2 linked regions of the Mus musculus genome follow. The protein of the gene in region 2 interacts with the protein of the main gene of each other region in a biochemical or structural test. Links are inferred from orthologs where the notes say so. Each region holds a gene or a part of one and is shown on either strand. Other genes may lie near its edges.

The links. The genes of interacting proteins can lie anywhere in the genome.
Region 1: the proteins of Lrrk2 (region 2) and Ywhab interact on a protein array, tested with the Homo sapiens proteins (2 studies listed by BioGRID and IntAct, with this or other methods). The link is inferred for Mus musculus from reciprocal best matches to the Homo sapiens genes LRRK2 and YWHAB.

What each region holds. Positions count from the first base shown.
Region 1 is NC_000068.7:164,012,175-164,015,773, reverse strand, and holds part of Ywhab (14-3-3 protein beta/alpha), read right to left. Parts: intron 1,769-3,599; coding exon 1,645-1,768; intron 544-1,644; coding exon 380-543; intron 1-379. UniProt on the Homo sapiens protein: Adapter protein implicated in the regulation of a large spectrum of both general and specialized signaling pathways. Binds to a large number of partners, usually by recognition of a phosphoserine or phosphothreonine motif.
Region 2 is NC_000081.6:91,746,210-91,749,863, reverse strand, and holds part of Lrrk2 (leucine-rich repeat serine/threonine-protein kinase 2), read right to left. Parts: intron 2,213-3,654; coding exon 2,031-2,212; intron 204-2,030; coding exon 1-203. UniProt on the Homo sapiens protein: Serine/threonine-protein kinase which phosphorylates a broad range of proteins involved in multiple processes such as neuronal plasticity, innate immunity, autophagy, and vesicle trafficking.

The DNA.
Region 1 (3,599 bases), on a different chromosome or scaffold from region 2:
AGAATCCACTTCAGGCACTCTTTCCAAAGTCAAGTTTCAAGTAACAGTGTTCACCAGAAAAAAGCATCTCACTAACGAAGTGTGGGCTCCCTCTTTCATGGAGTCAGTCCTATCTTAGAACAAAGATGACAACGCCCAATGTCCAAGCCTGATGAGAACTCCGACTTTCTACCTGGGAGCTTCTACCAATGACTCCAATAGGACCCAAACAAAGCACAGCAGCCGTCAGCCAGCACAGCCCGAGCGAGGACCAAGTGGCAGGTCTGCACCCATCTCCTAAACCCCGCCCCCTAGAGCACGCTTACATGTCTAAGACAGCGAGGACTGCTCATACGCACAAGGACGTTCTTGGAACAGCAAAGGGTCTTTCCTTACTCACCGTTTTGGCCAGGCTGCAGGCCTTTTCAGGAGAGTTTAGAATCTCATAGTAAAAGACTGAGAAATTCAGCGCCAGGCCGAGGCGAATCGGGTGTGTAGGCTGCATTTCTTTCTTGCTGATTTCAAATGCTTCTTGGTAAGCCTGCTGGGAGTTGGACACCGTGGCTGGAAGGAAGATGAAACTGTTAGCGTCTCCCACAGGCCACATCACACACGGGATCCATTATCAAGACACTTTAGTAAAGAGGCTAAAGCGAACAAGCAATCAAAACAAAGGTTCATGTCTTCAACACTCAGCCTAAACCTCTGCTGAGTGTTTATGCTAAGTACTGTTCTGAATGCTTTGGAAGAAAACGGACGGTTATAACAAAGTCTGTTAAAGCAGCCAAGAAACACAGACACATCCCTTCATAAGAACAAATGTGGATAATCTAGTGAAAAAAAGTGATGGGCTTTAAGATTGGCATAAACAAATTCAAATTCTCAACCCACTTGCATGTGGCCTGGAGCAAGTGAAAGGCCTAACTGCCAGGTCTGCTTCCTTTTATTGGAAAACCTCACCTAAATTCCAAGTGCTAAGAGGATAATTTAAGCCCAATTACTTAGCACACAGTGAACACTGAATAAAACAGCTACAATTGCTGAAAGATAGATTCTCCCTTATGGTGGTCTCAAACAGGTCTCCCTCATTTGCGGATGCTGAAACTAGACAGTACTGAAGCCTCGCACACATGCTCAGATAAATTAACACAGGAAACCAACAGAACAGTTTTAACAGTGTACTGTAATGCAATCTGCACTTTAGAAACCATCAAGTCACTTGAACACAAAGAGTGCCATACTCAAGTAGTCAATCAAGTAGCCAATATGGCAACTAGGTGATGACTAGGTGACTAGCACACACAGGGTTACTTTGGGCAAAATTTAGACTCCTTTATCTCTGGAATTTTCCATTTAGATTTCGGTCTACAGATGCAGTAAGTAAAGGTGGGTAAAACAAAATCATAGCCAAGGGGAATTATTGTTCTATAGTTGTACCTACAAAAAGGAAGTATCAGTTCCCAGATAAGAGTCTGCCAAACACATTACATACCAAACTTCTAACACCCTTCATGTCTATCCATTAGAGATTTATTAACCCCGTGACCCCATACATGACAATATTGTGTCTCATTACTTCGAACTTAGTGTCTACAGTAAAGAAAACCCAGGTTTCACCGTGAAGTATCAGCTATTGCACTGGCTGTTTCTTCAAATGTTACTTACTTTGTTTATTTTCTCCGGATGCAACTTCAGAAAGATACCTAAAGTAGTCTCCTTTCATTTTTAAGTAGAACACTTTGCTTTCTGCCTGGGTGGCATTGAGAATGAGATATTTGTCCAACAGCTCCTAAAAAGTGACATTAAGAATTTTGAATTGCTTGTGAGACGTTAAAATTACATTTGAGCTTAAGATATGTATTACTACCACTGATTTTTCTGAAGACTAAAACCAAAAAACACCAAAAAACACTCTCCCCCAAACCCAACTAACCAAATCAACCCACTCCCCCACCCCAAAAAAACCCAACCAATTTTCATTCAAGCTGCTAAATCCCATCTGGCCAAGTTCTATGAGCAGGGGCCTGTAGTTCCAGGCCCCTCAGATCACCACAGGGCTCCTTACACTGTAGCCACTACAGTGGAATGCGATGGAAAAAAGATGGCCCAGAACTACACTGCTAACCAAATCCAAATGGAAAAGACTACAAGAAGACCTCATTTTAATCTTGAAGTGTGGGGGCATGCACACAAAACATGGGCAAAGCCTTGGAGGACTAATACTAACAATGCCTGGCAGTGACTTTTACTTTGCAACTCTTCTGTCTATCTCTTAAAAACAAAACAACCCCCCTGACACTTGTGCTGCTTCTGTAACTGTGAGTGTGTGGGGCCTTTCCATTCTGCAAAGAAAAAGCAGCAGCAGCAGCGGAACCAACCAGCCAAGAACTAAGCTTAAACTTCATCTGACCTGGGAGGAAAGCCTTCTTCTGATGCTTACTATCTGTGTCCACGTGACCCTGGAGAGATGGCCTTGGGACCCCAAGCCTCAGATTCCTTGGCTGTACAATGGGGAAGGGGACCAGGATGACCACCGTCTAAGGCAGTTGTAAGGACAGCAAGGTAACTTATATCTAGTGCTTAACACATTGCTTGATAAGCAGTAGCACTCAGTCTAGAACTATTAGTAACAAATTCCTTTAAACATTTATGCTTACAACAAAAGTAGTTCTGAAGGAGTCCAAGCTTCGTATACAGAGAATTATTTTCGAAGAGTTGTTTTAGAATGTGGCATCCTGAAAAGCTGGTTAAGAGGCAGTGAGTACCATGCTCTTCTTCACATTCCTTCAGATGCTCTGAAAAGCTGGTCTACATTTCAGGGATTATGGAACTCTCTTGCCTTTGAATGCATGCCATACTTCATCTGAATACCAGATGCACCTAACATTCAGGAATTAGTGCACCATTAACAAACCCCCAAACAACCAAGAGGCAACATGTTTAACCATGAAACTTATCTTACACCAAGAAGCTGATAAAGAGAGAGGCTCAAGGCAAAGTCCAGCTATCAGGGACTTCATTTAATCGTTATCAGAGTATTCGAGAGGCAGGAGTTGTTTGTAAGTACTGTGTAGACAGACAGGGATAGAACTCCTGTGGGTTGAGGGAAGAGCATGGCCTTAGAGCCGACAAGCTTTATACTGGTTTTCAAAAGAAGCGTCAAGGGAAGTACTTTAGAGAGACAGACAGACTGCAGGAAAGACGTCCCTTTCTCTTTAAAGCAGCCTCAGTTACCTTTCACCTGCTTTCACGTAGAAAATAAAATTTCCTAGTGGGCTAGTGGGCTCCAGATATGAGGGAAAGAATATAATCATGAGGTGTTTTAGGGTAGGTATCCCTCCCAACCAACCCCCAATGTAGCTAGAAGGATCCACCACCTGACTGCAGTGTACCTAACCCACAGGAGAAGCCCATACCACCTCTGACTTGGCTTTCAAAGCTACACTGCACTTGACAGGCATGCCTAAGCTTCAACATCAGATTTCTACACTTTGTGAGGGCATGGCCAAGAAAAGGCTGAAGGCCTTTAAATCCCTTCCTTTCCAGAGATGAATCACTACTGAAACCAGAACTGTCCGCTGGAGGCCGCATCTTTCTAAATAGCCTCTTTATTTGACTTC
Region 2 (3,654 bases):
GGTCCTTTCTCCTTTTGCCCCGTATTTGGATGGACCAGTCTCGCACGTCTATGCCGACTGTGGCACCCTGCATGCCAAGTTCTGGTTTCTTCATTTTCATGAGTTGTTGCAGTAAAGTGGTCTTACCGCTCCCCGTATTTCCCACAATCATGAGCTTCATTCGGTTGTAGGGTACAGCCTTTTTCAGACGTTGTTGTAGAAACCTGGATAAAGAGAAGCCACATAGCAGCCTACCGAGGCATGTGCCAGGCCTAAGTTGTTCCACAGAGAGTGTGTAAACTCAAGCATGTGAAACTGTAACCAGAACCAACAACACACATGCCTTCTATTCTATTAGTAGTTTCACAGTAGTCAATGATATTTTTTAGCACTGACAATGATGTATGGCATGCTATATCATCACCAGTTATAATCAAAATCCCCAAATCTGTTTGCAATATCTATTAAGATGCAATGTGTACATAGATACATATACACGTGTAAATGTGGGAGGATATTTAAACAGTACAAGGAAAAGCTTAACCATTATAAAGTTTAAACTTTACAGTAGCACAGAATCAAATAAGTGTATAAATCAAAGCCCATTTTAATGAAGGTTTGAAAATGAGGCAGCCTTGGTTGTGTTATATACACATATGTACACATACATACATATGTGTACATATGTGCATATATTGTAAGTATAGTACAAAATAGATATTTATATATGGCATTGTGATACAAAGAGTGTCATTAGTCCTGTATACAAGAACACAAGGTCATTATCTGTTCATTTGAACTATATAAGCTATTAAACTATCAAATAATTTTAACATTGCTATTCTCAGTAAACTTAATGTAAAATTAGCTGAAACTAAATCAATGTGCTAGATGGCTCCAGAAAAAACTCACTTAAAATTTAAAGGTACCAGTAGTTTTAAAAATATAACAGATATAGAAAATACATTCGAAACTGTGCTAGCTCTTGCCACATTTTAATATCTTTATTTTTGAGATTATAATATTAATTATATCATTTCCTCCTTCGTCTTCCAAACCTTCCCATAAACCCTTCTTTGTTCTCTTTCTAGTCCAGGGCCTCTTTTTATTTATTTTTTTATTTATTCTTTTTTACATTTTAAAAATTATCTTTAATCTTTTTTTTTTCCACAGGCTAGAAAAAAAATTATCCCCCTCCTGGTCCACTCTCCTACAGTTGCTCATCTCATTCCTCCTCCTCCATCTCTGTCTCCAACAGGATGTTCCCACTCCCCCCTCCTCACCCTGCCAGGTCTCCCCACTCCCCGAGGCCTCAAGTCTCTCCAGGGTTAGGTGCCTCTTCTCTCACTGAGGCCAGACCAGGCAGTCCTCCACTGCATATGTGCCGGTGGCCTTGGAACAGCTCGTGTATGTTGCTTGGTTGGTGCCATAGCCTCTTTTTAAATTAGAAACCAAACTGTGTCATAAGAGAACTTTAAGGAATAATGACTAATCGGTGCCAGCCACAGGCATCTGGACAGGTCCCCTGATGAGACGATCAAAAGGAAACATTAGGAATGGAGGATACTCAGTGGATAAGTGCTTGTTTCTGTGAGGATCTGAGCTCAGGAGCCCATAACCACTCAAAAGTCAGGCTAGATATGGCAATCCCGAGCTTCAGGAGACAGAGATAGGAGATCTCCTGGGAAACCTGGCTAGATACAGGCTCAGAAAGAGACCCTGACTCAGTCAGTGAGTGAAGCAGAATCAAAGGTTATTCGTGATCAAGCGCAAGGCAGGTTGGAGATAGACACCCAACATCACCTCTAGGTGACAAGGAAGCCCCTCACCTGTACCATAAGGAATCATAAAAGCCTTTGCAGGGGCTGCATCTAAACACACCCATTAAATGGGAAGCATGCCAACATGCGTGTTAATAGTCTCTTCAGTCAAACACGGGTGTTAATAGTCTATATGTTTTTCCTTAAAGTGTTTCTGTATGGTCATCAAAAACACAGCTGGGAAAGGCAAGGCGAATTCTACAGAGAACAAACAGAATCACGTCAGCTGACCTTATGATGTCTTTGGCCTTGCATCCTACGTGCTTAAAGTCAAAATTCAGATGCAGTCCGTCCAAGGGAAGATCCCATATCTTGCTCAACTTCCCCATTTCATTTGGGAAGGACCTCAGTTCCAAGTTGTAACTGACGTCGAGAGACGTCAGATTTTCAAGGCAGCCAATTTCTGGAGGAATCTTAATAAAACAGACAAGGATAAAAACCCATTGGTGAGAGGGAAACAGTGCGCACAGCTAGGGCACAAGACAAGAGTGAACAGGAAAGGCTCTGAGATCCTACCAGCATTCTGCACAGCCTTGACATAAAGTCAAGTGTTTTGCGAAGTCTTTCCATTAGTTTGCAATAGGCTTTAAAACAAGCAAAAGGTATATAAAGAGCTTACTCCCATCTGAGCTATTTATCACTTTATTATATTTTAAATTTTATTGGAATGTGTATGCATGTGTGTGTATTCATGCATGTGTGTGTGTGTGCCCATACACACGTATGTGTGGTACTAGTAAGAGCTGATTTTCTCCTTCAACCATGTGGGACGTGGAGAGGTCACTCAGGTTGTCAGACACAGCAACTAGCACCTAGTGAACTACCTAGCTGGTCCTATTTATAACCTTAAAAAGTAAAATCTCCCTTAACAATAAGCTCCATCATATACAATACTGAAAAGTAAGTCATTTGTATTTAACAAAATCTGTTTTTTCTGTTTCTATTCTGTCTTCTCACACTGCCTATGTTATTTAGTAAACCACAAAGATACAATCATTACAAATTACGAAATACGTACACTTTAGGTTCCAACCTAACCAAAGCATTTTCATTTTCTATTCTAATTATTTTCTTCAGTAGAATGTATAGCATCTTGTGTATGCTAGGTGTGTGCTATAATCCCAAGACTAAAAAGATTTTAAGCTGACTATAGTATACCTATAATACAAAACATTTATTTGCTAAAAAAAAAAACAGAAGAAGTACAGGCACCAAAAATATCCAGTCATCCTAAATATCCAACTATCAGACCTTTAGGAGCTTTTCGCATAGACAATAGCTTGAACTTGACAAGAAAATATTTTTCTTATATGTGTAAATACAAGGAGGCTGACTCATTTAGGTGAGGGGTCATATAGATGAAGAATGAAGAGATCTAAGCACGTGGGAAAGAGGGAAAACACAGGCCAGGTGTCACCCAGGGAAGATGAGAGACTCGGAGTATGTCAGGCTCTGTGAATGGTCAGAGGTAGGAGACAGGGATGTTTTTACAGCATTATACATTCAAAACTAGATGCATACACTGTTGCAGTTTGACTAGGTCTAGCCCCTAGCCAACTCTTGTGGTTTGAATGCTGGGCCATAGAGAGTGGCACCATTAGGAGGTGTGGCCTTATTGGAGAAGGGTGTGGCTTTGTTGGGGGATGTGTATCATTGTGTAGGCAGGCTTTCAGAGCTCCTATGCTCAGACTCTGCCCAGTGTGGAAGAGAGACCCTCCTCCTGGCTTCCTGAGAAAGCCAGTCTCCTCCTGGCTCCCCAAGAAAGCCAGTCTCCTACTGGCTGCCTTTGGATCAAGATACAGAACTCTCGACTCCTCCAGCACCATGTCTGCCTGGGTCCTGCCATGTTTCCTGC